Callithrix jacchus: one gene and its partners. The protein of the gene in region 4 interacts with the protein of the main gene of each other region in a pairwise test. Links are inferred from orthologs where the notes say so. Each region holds a gene or a part of one and is shown on either strand. Other genes may lie near its edges. The genes, in order: BCL2, FRK, KLC1 and BNIP2.

Evidence for each region.
Region 1: the proteins of BNIP2 (region 4) and BCL2 interact in a two-hybrid assay, tested with the Homo sapiens proteins (3 studies listed by BioGRID and IntAct). The link is inferred for Callithrix jacchus from reciprocal best matches to the Homo sapiens genes BNIP2 and BCL2.
Region 2: the proteins of BNIP2 (region 4) and FRK interact in binary tests that used the Homo sapiens proteins (3 or more experiments, as listed by UniProt). The two-hybrid records come from large-scale screens. The link is inferred for Callithrix jacchus from reciprocal best matches to the Homo sapiens genes BNIP2 and FRK.
Region 3: the proteins of BNIP2 (region 4) and KLC1 interact in binary tests that used the Homo sapiens proteins (3 or more experiments, as listed by UniProt). The two-hybrid records come from large-scale screens. The link is inferred for Callithrix jacchus from reciprocal best matches to the Homo sapiens genes BNIP2 and KLC1.

The regions. Positions count from the first base shown.
Region 1 is NC_133514.1:106,292,017-106,296,337, forward strand, and holds the start of BCL2 (apoptosis regulator Bcl-2), read right to left. Parts: upstream 2,803-4,321; 5' UTR 1,906-2,802; intron 1,683-1,905; 5' UTR 1,400-1,682; coding exon 812-1,399; intron 1-811. UniProt on the Homo sapiens protein: Suppresses apoptosis in a variety of cell systems including factor-dependent lymphohematopoietic and neural cells. Regulates cell death by controlling the mitochondrial membrane permeability. Appears to function in a feedback loop system with caspases.
Region 2 is NC_133505.1:122,322,685-122,326,245, forward strand, and holds part of FRK (tyrosine-protein kinase FRK), read right to left. Parts: intron 970-3,561; coding exon 806-969; intron 1-805. UniProt on the Homo sapiens protein: Non-receptor tyrosine-protein kinase that negatively regulates cell proliferation.
Region 3 is NC_133509.1:138,437,290-138,441,365, reverse strand, and holds the start of KLC1 (kinesin light chain 1), read right to left. Parts: upstream 2,841-4,076; 5' UTR 2,589-2,840; intron 2,010-2,588; 5' UTR 1,925-2,009; coding exon 1,902-1,924; intron 1-1,901. UniProt on the Homo sapiens protein: Kinesin is a microtubule-associated force-producing protein that may play a role in organelle transport. The light chain may function in coupling of cargo to the heavy chain or in the modulation of its ATPase activity.
Region 4 is NC_133509.1:6,442,705-6,446,860, forward strand, and holds the start of BNIP2 (BCL2/adenovirus E1B 19 kDa protein-interacting protein 2), read right to left. Parts: upstream 2,822-4,156; 5' UTR 2,639-2,821; intron 2,400-2,638; exon of another isoform or gene 2,240-2,399; intron 1-2,239.

The DNA of each region.
Region 1 (4,321 bases), on a different chromosome or scaffold from region 4:
ATTATGTCGACTCTAGGTAGTGAAAAACAAAAGATTCTAACAACATTCTAGTGAATTAGTAACTCATACACAAATTATAGAACATAAAGAATGCAGCCGATGCAAATTCTGTCACTGACGAGGTAGCAAAGCCATAGACCAATACCCCTCAAGACACTGCGTCACGCCCACTGGAAATATGGCACACACTGGAGATTCCAGTGCAAGGACTTTGGAATGTCAATTTAGCTCTTTACAAACACAACTAAGTTTTCCAGGGAAAGGGACTCAGGTTGGTTTTCCTCTTTTGGAAAATTTTACCGAGTTAGAAAAAGCGTACCCTTAGTCTTCTGTGGAGTCTGTTCTTCTCATTGGGGTGTTCCCAAATTTAAGTGCACCAGGGGCGTGTCTCAGGGGAGCTTGTTTAGGATGCAGACTGTCAAGACCCAACCTGGCATCTGGTTCATAAGCAGGCCCTGAAACCTCCCTCCGGTCCCAACAAGCTGCTCAGGCCAGGAAACTGTGGTCCTGGGGACTCCTGGACCTCCAGCTCGAGAAACACTGAAGGGGTACCATTGACCACCACATCCTACTGGACCTCCTCAACTAGCGAGCAAGTTAAAGACTTTTAGAGGGCAGGCGTCATCACTCAGGTTGGGAAAGAACACTTTGTCCAGAGGAAGAGGTTATGGACGCCGGGAAGCAACAACCCTGATTTTATTTCACCAGCCCCACAGCCTCCCCTTACCCCAGGAGCCCACCCGCCGCACTCCAACCCCCACATCTCGGACCTGCAGCCTCAGCCCAGACTCCCATCACCACGTGCACCTACCCAGCCTCCGTTATCCTGGATCCAGGTGTGCAGGTGCCGGTTCAGGTACTCGGTCATCCACAGGGCGATGTTGTCCACCAGGGGCGACATCTCCCGGTTGACGCTCTCCACACACATGACCCCACCGAACTCAAAGAAGGCCACAATCCTCCCCCAGTTCACCCCGTCCCTGAAGAGCTCCTCCACCACCGTGGCAAAGCGTCCCCGCGCGGTGAAGGGCGTCAGGTGCAGCTGGCTGGACATCTCGGCGAAGTCGCGGCGGTAGCGGCGGGAGAAGTCGTCGCCGGCCTGGCGGAGGGTCAGGTGGACCACAGGTGGCACCGGGCTGAGCGTAGGCCCCGTGGCGGCGGCGGCGGGGGCGGCTGGGGGCGGCGGCGGCGAGGTCCTGGCGACCGGGTCCCGGGGCGCGGCGGGACCGGGCGTGTGCCCGGGCTGGGAAGAGAAGATGCCCTCCGCGGGGGCGGCCCCTGGGGGCGCGGCGCCCACATCTCCGGCATCCCACTCGTAGCCCCTCTGCGACAGCTTATAGTGGATGTACTTCATCACTATCTCCCGGTTATCGTACCCTGTTCTCCCAGCGTGCGCCATCCTTCCCCGAGGAAAAGCAGCGGGGGCCAACGGCACCTCTCGCTCCAGCTCCCACCCCACGGCCCCCAAAGAAAGAAGAAGAGTTATAATCCAGCTATTTTATTGGATGTGCTTTGCATTCTTGGAAGAGGGGGTGTCTTCAGTCACGCGGAACACTTGATTCTGGTGTTTCCCCCTTGGCATGAGACGCAGGAAATTTTTATTCCAATTCCTTTCGGATCTTTATTTCATGAGGCACGTTAGTAGTAAGCATTGTTAATATCAGTCTACTTCCTCCGTGATGCTGAAAGGTTAAAGAAGAAACAAACTCATAAGTTAAAAAAATCAGGTGCATTTTCCTGTATGCCCTGGCTGAAAGCAGGGCATACGCACTACAAGTAACACGGCTAAAAAGAATGTATTAAACTGCCTGGAAATTAAATTTACTCGAATGCACTTTAAGTAAAAATTCTCAAATGTTTTCATTGAAAGTTACATTAAGCCAATTTCCTGTGCAGAGAACTTACTTGTATTTTTTAAGAACAGCATGATCCTCTGTCAAGTTTCCTTTTTTGTAAAACCAAAACAAATGCATAAGGCAACAATCCCATCAATCTTCAGCACTCTCCGGTTATAGCTGCTTTGAAACTTCCCAATGAATCAGAAGTCGGGGGGAGGGGGAGTAAAAATTAGGAGGATTTCCAGATCGATTCCCAGACTTCTGCTTCACAGAAATGTCAATCCGCAGGAATCCCAACTGGAGATCTCAAGAGCTCGAGAAAAAAAGGCAGCGGCGGCGGCAGATGAATTACAATTTTCAGTCCGGTATTCGCAGAAGTCCTGTGATGTTTTCCCCTTCTCGGCAATTTACACGCGCGCATACACGCGCGGGCACAGGCATGAATCTCTATCCACCGGACCGCTTCACGCCTCCCCGGCAGAGAGACAGGGGAGGGGGGACGACGGAGGAGCCGGGGACGGGGGCAGCAATCCTCTTCTGATTAAACTCCGAACAGCGAATGCATTTTCCGAAAAGCTGCTGGATAAATGAAGGCAGGACGCGCCTGGCCCGCCGGTGCCGAGCGCTAGAAGCCCGCGCTGTGTGTGGTGCGGCGAGGGGTGGGGAGAAGGAGGTGGTGGGGGAGGGCTTTATTTTTTCCCTCTTTTCCTAAAAAGGACGACTGCTACGAAGTTCTCCCCCCTGGACCCCCTTCTTCCGCTGCACCCCACCGGCGCACCCCGCCTCCGGGCTGCGCACCCTTTCTCCTCCTCCTGCTCCTGCGCGACGGCGCTGGCTGCGGCCGCCTCCCGGAGCTCCCGCCGCGCAGCCCGCTCCGAGCGCAGACGGCCGCCGGCGGGGAGGGCCCGGCGCCCCGGCACCTTCGCTGGCAGCGGCGGCGGCGGCGGCGCGGCGGGGCCAAGGCGAGCGGCGAGCGGGCGGCGCGGCGGGCGGGCTGGCGGCGCAGAGGGGCGGGCGCGGGAGGAAGGGGGCGGGCGCGGGGCGGGGGTGTCTGTCCTCTTACTTCATTCTCCGCATAGCCCGACCGGTTTCCTGTGCGTAACGTCACACGGTTCATTCAAAAAAAGAAGAAAGAAAGAGCCCTCCTCTGAGCCGCCCGACCGCCCCCTCCGCCCCGCTCGCTGGCCCGGGTTAAAGGCGCCGCGGCGGGCCCGGGAGCGGCGCACCCCACCGGGGGCACATGGCGCGCGGGGCCGCGACCGGGGAGGGCGCACCCGGGCCGGCCACCCGCCCGTTCCGCTGCGTTCGCCCGGCCCGGCCGGTGGGTGGCGCGGGTTGCGCGGGCGGCGCAGGCCTCCCGCGCGGCCGCGGCGCGGTGGGTGTGAGCGGGCCTTCTGCTCAGGCCTGTGGAGGGCCGGGCGCGGACCTCGGGGTCCGCGAGGGGGTGGGGGCTGCCGGGGAACCGCACGCGGCCCGGCCGGCGACGGAGAGCGGAGGGGGGCGGCTGGCGGGAGGGTGCGCCATGAAAACAAGGGCTGGAAAAGCGCCGGGAACCGCCTGGACCCTTTCTAGCCGACTGAGAGAGAGAGAGAGAGAGAGAGAGAGAGAGTGAGAGAGTGAGTGTATGTGTGTGTGTGTGTCGCCTGGACCCTTTCTAGCCGTGTGTGTGTACACGCGCCTACACACACACACACACACACACACGCCATGTTACCCGCGCTCTGCCCCCGGGGGAAGACCCAGGCCAATGCCACCCCCACCCCCCACCCCCAAGCAGGGGGACCTTAGCTCTGCCCTGCGGTGAAAACAGGCGACTCTGAAACGTTTTAAGCAATATCCAGGGACGCCCCCAGCGTAGTGTTTACTTTCAAGTGGATTACTAGGTGTCGGCGCACTACACACGCGCGCGCATTCTCGCCGGTGTCCCCGTGAATATCCAGTACGTGGCCAAGGCCAGGCAGAACTCAGCGCTCCACGGAAGGAGCCAGCGAGGGGTTATCAAGGGCTTTAAAATAATTTAAGTCCGTGTTGTTCCTCTGTCCCTAACACGTTCTGCACTGGGTCAGGGCTGCACGCTGAAGAGTTCTGCATAGTAACTTTCGGGCCCACCGTCCTAACGCTGGGGTGGGTGGGCTCCTAAAGGTCTCCACCTTTCTCCACCTTTGCCTTGTAGCCAATCCTAGATGGCCGCACTTTCTCAAATGATGTACGCAGATATATACACATCCACACTCGCAGACGTGTGTAAGTGCAATCAGTTTTAAATTCATCGGAATGAATAGCCCCTAGCAGAAAAGGACAAGAGGACAAACAAGTTGCACGTGTTTATTTTTAGCTCCAAGAGTCTTTGACAAATAAGACACCGAGAAAAAAAATAAAAGGTTTACCAGAAGCACAGCGGCTTACTTAATAGGGCTCAAGTTCAAATATATAGGGACAATAGATTATTGTGATCAAGAAAGATGACAAATGAATACTACAAT
Region 2 (3,561 bases), on a different chromosome or scaffold from region 4:
AAACATTTTTTTAAAAACAGAACATTGTAAACAGTCTTCTGATTACTTCAAAACCAAAAAACAATGGTGGGAGAATCTACATTGTTAACTCTTCGGATTGATCTTCCACATCTTGGGAAGTCAGGCACCTCGTTGTCCATCTGTGTGATCCCATACCTAACGCCATCCTCACTCAAGTCTGGAATGACTTCTCTCTACCCCTGTGCTTAGCTAAATCCTCTCAGTTCCAAGGCCCAGTTGAAGTTCCATCTCACCCACAAATCCTTCCCAAACTCTTTGGCTATAGTATATATTATATGCATCATCTATTTTTACATAATTAAATGTTTATATATTTCAAACTCATTTTATCATTGCTTTATTTGTTCATTAATTTATTTACTCATTCATTTAGTAAGTAAAATTGTTTTAAGCATTGACTAGGTACTTTTCTATACACAAAACAAGACCCCTGCCCTTCTAGAACTCATAGTCTAGTTTACCACCTGCCCTATGGTCTCTGTTGCAGCTTCTAAACTCTGCTGTCATGGCACAAAAGAATCCAAAGAAAACTCATCTATGAATGAGCATCTGTGCAAATAAAACTTATTTCTAAAAACAAGCATAGGTCAGTGTGGGCTCATGAGCCATGGTTTGCCTATACCTGCCTCAGGTAATAAAATTGTCATTTTTTTAGCCACCCCATGAAGAGAAGCAGCCCAGTGGGGTTGCTTCCTTTTTTACTCCAGATATCTGACAAATATTCAGATATCTGGAGGAAAAAAGTTAACTTCAATAAACAAACACAGCTTGAAAGCATTTTCACCTTTAAGCATGGTTTCCCCAGCTTGACACACAGGCCGTCACTTGTCTTGGTGTAGTGGCTCACAAACTCGTTCAGTGTTGAAAAGGTTCTTCTCCGGGTGAGAAAAAAGCCCCCTTCATCCAGTCTTCTGATTCTGTAGTGTTTTACAACTCCTCCATCTAAAACTGAGACCCAAAATAATTCCTATTAATAAACTTCTTGCTAAAGACAAGCAGATTTATTTACTTTGTGGTGACATTTTCAATGCATAAAATGAAATCTATATAAAATTCTATGTATTTCTCAACTTCGTCTCAGAAGACTTAAGAAAGTTTACCAACAATACAGAACAAAAGAGAGGGTGTGAGAATTGGGAAATAATACCAAAGAAAATGTAAAAATAAAGGGGTGAGGCTAGCACTAAAAGAATTCATGCTTCTAAGTCTAGTATATGTGATTAAAACAAGCCATAAAATTGACTCTATCACTCTAACAATGCAAAGAAGAAAATCTTACCATTTTGGGGATTCACAGTGTCCATAAGATAAAATCATGAAAGGTTTTTAGAAACAGTTCAATTCTTCCTGGTGCAGAAACCAGGGAGAAATTTCTCCCATGAAATCCTATAATGTGGTGACGGAAATAAACAGTATGCTCAATACCACCTTAGAATAATGCATGGAATTCCACGGGACTGTTCATTATATTGTACCTCAATGCAGGTTGGTAACCGAATGTCCTAACACAGTTCAACAGCAGCAATTCCACAGAGACTAAACTGATTCAGTCCACATATGCAATGTCGCAGCAGTATTGCTCACTCCAAGAGTAAGTCCTGTAGTATCTACAGGAATAACTAGACGGCATCATTTTTACCTAGTTTGGCCTGCAGTGGATATTTTGTTACTCTTGCCACCCACCTCCCTTTGGCCCTTCTTCTGTTAACAGCACCCCCAATTTTCCTCAGGAATTTTTGCTTCTCTAAAAGCATGTGGTCCAGAAGGACCTGGTAGCCACCTGGAGCTGAAGAAGACAGAATCAGTGCAATAAGAGCCAAGAACCCCCAATTCCAGGACTTGAGTTAGGAAGTTCCAGGAAGACAGGAAGAGTTTTGTTACTGTGGCTGTTGTTTTGGTTTTGGTTTACTGATGGGATTTTGGAGCTATTGGCAGAATCCTGGCCTCTAGGCAGGAAGCAAGCTTCCTGAGAAAAGAAGCAGCCCAGTGGGAAGCAGTCTTGATTTGGAAAGTGAAGCCTAATCCCCAGAGCCAGCCAAGCCTGGCTTTTCAGCTACAAGAATCAATTAATTACCTTTTTGGTTAAACTATTTTGAATAGGGATTTCTGCACTTACATTCAAAATATTGATTAATGCATTTTATACTTATGCTTTCACTTAACAAAGTTATTGATAAGCATTGGGCAGCATTTACCACTATAATGCTATTCTGCATTCCTTGCTAAATATATAATTTTATGCTTCAGTGATTAGTCAGGCTGGTGCAATGCTCTTATGAAAGGGAAGAAGACATCCCAATCCCCATATGGAGGTTTACTGAGGGCACACCAATAGCTAGGACAATTTTTTTTTTTTTTTCAAAAAAAGGAATTGGCATGCACCAGAAGAGTTAAAATGAAAAAAGGCAGTATTAACAAAGAAGTGGAGTGACTTCCCACACATAGTTGATGGAAGAGTAATTTTTACCACCACTTTGGAAAACTGTTTTTCCTTATCTACTAGAGTTGAACATAGTCATACATGTAATACAGTAATTCTACTCCTAAGCATAAAATCAATATATTCACCAAAATATGTGTTTAAGAATGTTTTTAGTTGCCTGATTTTAAGGGTCTAAACCTGGAAGCAATCCAAATGTTCATCAACCAATAAATAGAAGTATCCAAATATCTATCAAATAATAAACAACAGAATGAACTAAAAAATTGTCATCTAGTGGAATGCATATTTGTAAATAAACAAAAACTGCAGCTACACACAACGGTGTGAATGAATCTCGCAAACTCAAATATATAGTCTCATTATTAAAAAACACGGTTGGGTGTGGTGGCTCATGCTTTTACTCACAGCATTTTGGGAGGTTGAGATGGGAAAATTACTTGAGGCCAGGAGTTTGAGGCCAGTCTAGGCAACAGCAGCAGACCCTGTCTCAACAAAAAAAATAACAATAATAATAATAATTTTAAAAAATTAGCCAGGGTTGGTGGCACATGCCTGTAGTGACAGCTACTTGGAAGGCTGAGGCAAGAGGATCACTTCAGCCCAGAAAGTCAAGGCTGCAGTAAGTTATGATTGATTGTGCCACTGCACTCCAGTCCAGCCTGGGCAACAGGATGAGACACTGTCTTAAAAAACAAACAAACAAACAAAAATCTTAAAAACAAGCAAAACTATTGATATGAGGAGTCAGTGACTGGGTTGTTAGCCTTATTCTGCTTCTTAACTTGGTGCTGGTTACCTGAGTTTATAAACTTTGTATTCACCAAACTAAACTCTTATGAATTGTATACTTTTATTGTATGTATCACACTGCAATTTAAAAGAATACTTTTAAAAAAATGATTATTTGCTTCTGTTTATGAACAAATGGGACATCGAGTCTCGAAACTGCTACATTAAGGTCAATGCTGTATTATTTCAGTATAGAACATTATTTTTTTTTTTTGTAGGAAGGGAGGAAGGGAGGAAGGCAGGAAGGGAGGAAGGGAGGAAGGGAGGGAGGAAGGAAGGGAGGGAGGCTGGGAGGGAGGGAGGGAGAG
Region 3 (4,076 bases), about 130 Mb from region 4:
ATGGCGCCATCTAGGCTCACCGAAACCTCCGCCTCCTGGGTTCAGGCAATTCTCCTCCCTCAGCCTCCTGAGTAGCTGGGATTACAGGCACGCACCACCGTGCCCAACTAATTTTTTGTATTTTTAGTAGAGATGAGGTTTCACCATGTTGACCAGGATGGTCTCAATCTCTTGACCTCGTGATCCACCCGCCTCGGCCCCCCAAAGTGCTGGAATTAAAGGCGTGAGCCACCGCACCCGGCCCATCTGCTTTCTAACATTCCACTTACCTACTGTTTCCAAGTTATACTAATCCTACATTTCATCTGACTTTTTTCTAGTCTAGTTTTCCTTTTAGATAAGTATGTTTTAAGATAGTTTATGGCCCTATACAGAAAGTGACACATTGACTTTTTTCCAACATTGAGAAACATGCTTAAGAATGTATAAACAGGCTGGGCAAGGTGGCTCATGCCTGTAACCCCAACACTTTGGGAGGCCAAGGTGGGTGGATCACTTGAGGTCAGGAGTTTGAGACCAGCCTGACCAAAATAGAGATACCCCATCTCTACTAAATATACAAAATTAGCCGGGCATGGTGGCACATGCTTGCAATGCTAGCTACTCAGGAGGCTGAGGCAGGAGAATCGCTTGAACTTGGAAGGCAGAAGTTGTGGTGAGTCGAGATCACGCCATGGCACTCCAGCCTGAGCTACAAGAGTAAAGCTCTGTCTCAAAAATGTATAAATTTAAATGACTGTAGTTTTTTGTTATGAAATAGTTAAGACACTGTGCGCCTCTCCCCAGTGTCATTCCCTCCCCTTGCTGGAGATAAACACTATCCTGACTCCTGTGCACGTCTGGATGCTTTTCTAAGACAATGCTAGGCAAGGTGAAGTGTGCCAAGGCTGCAGTAAGGTTAGAGGTCACCACTTGGGTCCTCCACAGCACTCAGTGCCAGCACAGGGCTGCCAGGCCCAACTGCAACATGATGTTGCGTTCTTTGAGGACTTGGAGAGACACTGGCTCTTTAGAGTGCCTACCCTCCCACACGGAATTCCACACAAGTTGAAATACACTTCAGATTTAGTATCATGGTATTCTCACAAATATTTAGGAAACAGAATAGGTCAAATTTCTCACCATAACAGGCTTGTTGACAATCCCTCAAAGAAGCAAGACCATGACACTAATGTAACTTGGGAACTTAAGGAGGTCGTTCCAGTTCCCATATGTGTTTTTCACTAAACTAGTGCAATGCATTCTGAGCCGATTCTGATCAATGGCTTAGTCATGCTGTACAGAAAAAAAGACCTTAGAATTTGACGCAAAGAATCAAAGATCCAATTGCCCGTGTAAAGAACACCTAAAATAGTATTATCTCAACTTTTTTGTTCTCACATTTTTAAAAAAAATTTTTTTTTTTGGACGGGCATGGTGGCCTACACCTGTAATCCCAGCCCTTTGGAAGGCCAAGGCAGGTGGATCACAAGGTCAGGAGTTCGAGACCAGCCTGGCCAATATGGTGAAACCCCATCTCTACTAAAAAGACAAAAATTAGCCAGGCGTGATGAAGCCCGCCTGTAGTCCCAGCTACTCCGGAGGCCGAGGCAGAAGAATCGCTTGAACCTGGGAGGCGGAGGTTGCAGTGAGCCGAGATCTCCCCGCTTTTGGCACTCCAGCCTGGGTGAGGCTCCATCTCAAAAAAAATAACAAAAAAAAAAAAAAAAATTTTTTTTTGTAAGCATTCCTTTTCAAACGCTTAATACGTAAATTCTTAAAACAACAGGCAGCAATAATCCTAGTACAAATATGACTAGAAATGACCTACATATGTTAAGTTATAAAACCATCCACTCCATCACGCATATATTTTACTTTTTTAGCGCTTTATTTTAATTTTCTTAAGGAAAAGGGCGCACCGAATTTTACCCGGAAAGCGCATCCCAGGACGGGGGCTGCTTCAAGTTTAGTCGGAGCAACGCCAGCCTAGGTGACCAGGGTCGCCTGAAACGTTTCGCATCTGGTTACTGAAAAAAAGGGGGTCGCCAAAGAGGCGGGGTGGAGTCGGCTCTCGGCAGGGACCGGGCCCCCAGCCGCCCGCGAGGATGACAGGCGCGTCCTCTCAGGGCGGTGCCGCGAGAGGCGGGGGCGGAAGGAAGAGGAGGAATCGGACAAAGCCAGCCCCGCCGGCCGCCCGCCCGCCCGCCCGCCTCGATCCCGGGGGCGGTCACCTCCCCCGTCGCGGGCTCCCGGGGTCCGCAGCTGTCCCCGGGAACGGCCACCGCCGCCCGCAGCAGGGCCGAGCCGGGGATGCGGAGCCGGGGATGCGGGGCCGGGGCGGGGCCGGGGCGGGGCCGGGTACCGGAACCTGCAGTGGGACGCGAACGGGGAGGACGCGCGGCGCCGGGAGCCGGGGCTGGGAAAGGGGCCGGGGACGCGAAGCCAACCTGCACCTGCGAGGGGCCGCGGACCAGCAGGGGTGGGGACCTGGAGCGCAACCGGGGGTGGGAACCGACGGGGGCCGGGACCCGGGACCCAAAGCCGGGCGGGGACAGGGCAGAGGATGAGCAGGGGGCCGCGGCCCGGGGCGCACGCCGGGGACTCACCGTCCAGCTCCTGAGGGCCGCGCTCTCTCGCGCTGTCAGCACCAGGAGCGCCGCCGGGCGCGTGCGCGGAGCAGCAACTGCGCGCCGAGCCGGCCTCGGCCGCCTGAGGCGCGGAACAGCGGTCGCTAGCGAGGGGCGCCGGCGCAGCCGCCCCGCAGCATCCTCGGCCGCTGTCCTTTCTGTCGCCAAGCGCAGCCCCGCCGACCCAGCCCGTCCCGCTCGACCGCCCGCGCCGCTCCCGCCGCCGAAAATGGCGTCTCAGTCTCGCTCCCGCGGTGCCCCGCCTCGCCCTGCCCCACAATGCCGCGCGCCTGCATGACGTCATCGTCCCTCGCGCCGCCCGGGGCCGGGGAAACTGAGGCTGGGTAGCTCCCTGGAGGCGCTCGGCGACCTAGGGACCGGAGGGGCGCGGAAGCTGTTTGGGTGTCAGGTGGGCGGTCAGAGGGAGGAGGGTGATGCTGCAGGACCCCGCGGGCCTCCCGGCTGAAACGCGGGCGAGACGGGGCGCTCGGGGCAGGGCGTGGCACGGGCGGTGGGCCACGAGGCCCGGGTGTCTCTGACGCCGCAGCTGTGGCGGCCGAGCGCTGGAGCGGCTTATTCTCCCGACCGGAATGCGGCCGGGGAAGGTGCAGGCCCGGCCGCTGCCGCTGCCGCCACCGCTGGGCCCCCGCCCCGCTCCACTCCCAGGCCCGCGAGCTTCGTGCGCTCATTTCGGTCCCCCGAGAACCCCACTAGGAGGCCTTCGGGAGCCCCCCGACAGCCTTTGGTCGAGATCCTGACCCCTAACCCCGCGCCCTCCCCGTGTCATTGTTCCCCCCTCTCGGGGCTTCTGGACCCTCGAATCAGGGAGACTTTCCCCGGCGCTCCTGCTGGACACAAAGTGCACCTCGGGCGGGCTCAGGGGAAGGGCCGGGGTGCAGGCTGTGAGGATGGGAGACGCCCACCCCCTGTCCCCACGCAGCCACCGGCGCATGGCCCTGGCCGCAGGGACTCGACCTCCAGCCTAGCCTGAAGGGCAGCGGAGCGCGCCTGGGTCGGGTCCTGCGGTTCCGCCGGCTCCGCAGGCCTGACTCAGCAGCCAGCCGGGAGGACCTGCTGATTCCGTGGGCGAGGCTCCGCGCGCTGCCGCCAGCGGCTGGAGAAAAACCCTCCCGGTGCGCAGACGTCCCAAGTGCGGGGCCCGGAGGCGTCATTTAACCTGCAAGGGTTCCTGGGCCAGTTCCCCAACCCCATCGACTGCTGTTCCTTTCCGATGTTCTCTCCCAGCGCCAGCAGCCCTGTGTGAACCCTGAGAAACGGAGCTCTGGTTATTTTGATCTCGTTTATGAAGACGAAGGTGGGCTACACGCGGGGAGCTCCTAGCGTAACACAGCGGTTAGGGTTGGGCCCAGCGAGAGGGAGTGAGTCAGGGTCAAAGAGACCCCCTCCCCACACCACTTTCAGGGTCACGATTTCAGCCAGACTGCAGCTTGGGTGTCATCAAGCTCA
Region 4 (4,156 bases):
ACACAATAATTTTGCTATATGCAGTTTAACAGTGCTGCTCCAATACGTGCCAGAAACGACTATTTATGCTGAAATCAATTACAGTGGCAGATGGAAATGCCCAGGCAAGTCTTTCACTTCCCCATTTAAACAAAATGGTTTCATTCTAAACATTTCTGTTCACTTTTTAACGAACAGCCTGTACATTTAGGCGATCACCAAACATCCTTAGAAAAATCCTATATACTTGCTTGTCATTGCTTCCATGAGGGGAGGGGTATATCGTTTTTAAACAATAAAATAAGATGCTCTATCAGAAATGTTAACACAAGCCAGGCACGGTGGCTCACGCCTGTAATCCCAACACTTTGGGAGGCTGAGGTGGACCGATCACCTGAGGTCAGGCGTTTGAGTCCAGCCTGGCCAACATGGAGAAACCCCATCTCTACTAAAAATACAAAAATTGGTCAAGCATGGTGGTGCCTGCCTGTAATCTTGAGGCAGGAGAATCGCTTGAACCCAGGAGACAGAGGTTACAGGGAGCAGAGATCGAGTCACTGCACTCCAGCCTGGGTGACAGAGCAAGACTGCATCTCAAAAAATAAATAAATAAATAAATAAATAAAATAAACGTTAACAAAAATGTAAGAGGAAAAACTAGAGTGGCGATGACTTCTCTCAAAATGGTGAAAATAAAGCAAAAGACGATGGTGCTGCCTACGAAAGTGACCTTTACTGAATTATCATTGCAGAACATACAGAAAATGCTGAGACCTTAGTTTGCTGTAGTCAGAAAAATTAATTGTAACATAAAACTATAATCGTGGAATATTACTATCATCGTATTACACTAGTATTTTGCTTCATAGCATGTGAACACAACGTGGCATTTCTTTTTTCCACCAGAGTGGCGGCTCGGGGACACACACAGTCTCACTTTGTAGCCCACGCTGAACCAGTCTGGAGTGCAGTGCTGCAATGTCAGCTCACTGCAACTTCTGCCTCCCAGGTTCAAGTGATTGCTGTGCCAGTCTCTCCAGTGGCTGGGATTACAGGGATGTACCACCAGGCCCGGCTAATTTTTGTATTTTTGGTAGAGATGGGGTTTCACCATGTTGGCCAGGCTGGTCTCGAACTCCCGACCTCCGGTGATCCGCTGTCTTGGCCGCCCAAAGTAACAAGACATCTTTGATCCTACCAGCCAACTTTGACTTCCTGGATCTGGTTACACATGCTTTCTCCGACACCCTTCTCCCTATTGTTCCTTCTACCAGCATTACTCCAGATCGAACAGAATTTTTCCAGAGTGCTTTTCACATTTACTAACCCCTTTGATATCCATCATCTCATGTTCCAACCAGTCACTTTGCGATGCATGACACTTGTGTTATCTTCAGTTTATCTTACATGTGAGGAACCACATCCTGGTCCACCTACCTAGTCCAGAACTGCCTCTAATACAGCGCACCGTCTGCAATGCATTGGCAGCTGCATACAGAATAAGCCCGTAGTGCCCGATTTGGTGGCACTTAGCTTCAAAGATATTGTAATGCCTGAAGACCATAATAGCACTGACTTATGATAATCCAGTTCAAGTTCCGTTTGCAGAAATCGATCTGTCATACTTCCTGTCTAAGCCCAACTATGTTAGGCTGCACTACAGATTATGAAGACCAGGAATAGAGTTTAGAGAAACCGAAAAATAACAAGAACTAAGACGAGTATGTGCAAAATGATCAAGAAACTAGTGTGCAAGGGTAACTTAATTGGGTAACGTCGTCACTTGCAATTCTGAGGAAACATCCATTCACAAAGTACAGTATTTGTTTCTACATCTGCAGATATGCCAGTAAAATGTTAGAAAAATAACACATTTAACTGAAAATAAGAAATCAGGTATTAGGAGAGACAGAGATCCTAATCAAGAGAAAGTGAGAATGAAAAAAGCAACACTAAAATGCAATCAGATAATTCATTCGATGAAACAGGAGACTGTGCCTATCTTGATGAACACGGCAAAAGCTGTGCCCTCCAAGAGCTCACAGGATAGACAAGTAACTCTCCAGCGGCAAGAGATGCATCCAGAAATGCAAACCATTGTGCCAGGTATTTAAACAGAAAAGGTGGTGTCGGGATCCCAGCGGGGACTGGACGTTTGACGTACACACTCTAGATTTGGTTTAGCGCGCTCGGGAAGATCTATAAAGCCCGGATTTCTTACGCTGCTCCCGTGTCTATTCCCCGAGGTTACAAGGCGTACCAGAAGTCCAAGTTTCTTTGTTCTGCACCAGGGCGGACGCTGGTCATAAATACTGAACCATCGTGGCCCAGCCACTTCACCCACACCGGGGTAAAGGTGGGGGAGAGGGGGAGGCACAAGGTTCTATCCCGAGCACAACTACCAGAAACGGAAAAGGGGTGGGGTGGGGGCCCAACTGCCAAATACAAACAGGACCCGAGCCAAGGGCGGGGACCTACGCTGGGCGGGGATCCAGGAAGCACCTCCCGAGCAGGTTCTATGGCGCCCCCTACCACGGGTAACCTTCTGCGTTTCCTCTCCCCGGGCGTCTTGGGTAAGCGCCCGACAAACCTGCGCCCCTAGGCCGGTTCCAGACCGGCTCCGGAGCCACCGTGCCGAGTCCCCCCAGGCCGCACTCACCCCGGAGGAAGCCTTGGCCCCCTCGTCCTCCTCGCCCCTCCAGGCCGGCGACGTGGGGCTGACGGCCAGGTCGCAAAAAGCGGCGCCGAGCGGAGCCCGCTCCCCTCGGTCGGCGGTGGAGACCCCGGCCCAATCCCCCGGCCGCAGCGGCACAGCGGCGACGGCGGCAGCTGACCCGGAAGCAGTGAGAGATCCAGACGGAAGTGACGTCACTCCGACGTCCTCCGGGCGCGGCAGCGGAGGAGGCGGTGGCGGAGGCGTGGCGTCCCCTAGAAACCCACACAGCACCCCCCTGGCCCACTCAGACCGCCCGGGCTGTCGCTCGCGTCAGCCTTCCTCGCCTCTGGGCAGACCCGTCGCTTCGAGTCCTTATTGGTGGCGTTTACCGCGCCTCGAGGCGTTTCTTCTTTGTTGTGCGCTGGGACGCTGCCCTGTAGTCTCCGTCATTTTTGTTTTCTTTTTGCCTCTCTTTATGGAACATTACAGTAGGTGAAATTATCCCTATCAATATATTATAATGCAATAGGTGCAATTACCAATAGCAATTTTATAACAACAGGGGCAAGTGTCAGTATCATTACGATAGGTGCAATTATCAACGCTCAATAATAATGTGAACAATGTGAATTATAAAATGAATGAAATAAGGGGAGGAGGCCGGGCGAGGTGGCTCACGCCTGTAATCCCAGCACTTTAGGAGGCTGAGGCGGGTGGATCACCCTAGGTCAACAGTTCAAGACCAGGCCGGGCATAGTGGCTCACTTTGGAGGCCAAGGTGGGTGGATCACCTGAGGTTGGGAGTTCATAACCAGCCTGACCAACATGGTGACACCCCGTCTTAAAAAAAAAAAAAAAAAAAAAAAGTTCAAGACCAGCCTGGACAACATGGTGAAACCTCACCTCTATTAAACATACAAAAATTATTGGGACGTGCTGGTGGACACCAATAATTCCAGTTACTCAGGAAGCTGAGGCAGGAGAATCACTTGAACCCAGGAGGCACAGTTTGCAGTGAGCGGAGATCATGCCATTGCACTCCAGCTGGGACAACAGACCAAAAACGCCATCTCAAAAAAAAAAAAAAAAAAAAAAAAAGAGAAAGAAAAGAAAAGAAATAAGGGGAGGAAAAATATCCGAGACTTCATTTTGGGGAGCTAGGCCTCAGAAGCGTCCTTGGAGTTTGGTAATTTCGAGTGTGAACAGCTTTGCAGCAGTGCTTCTCTTTAATGTGGGGAATGATATATTAATTTTTAAAAATTTTCAATTAGTTGATAAAACAGACAAATGAAAAGACACACAAAGTCCAAATGTAAACTTTTTATCGTTAGGGTTAACATCCATAAAATTACCCGGAAAATTGCTATAGAGTTTTCTACTATCTCTCTGTAGTCTATTTACAAACAGTTCTCAGAAAAGCCCAGGTCTACAGACCATGGTCGGAGTACTCAAAGTAAACTATTCAAATCAGACCATACTCAGCTTCAACCAAACGAGATTTGTTTGGAGGACATCATAATC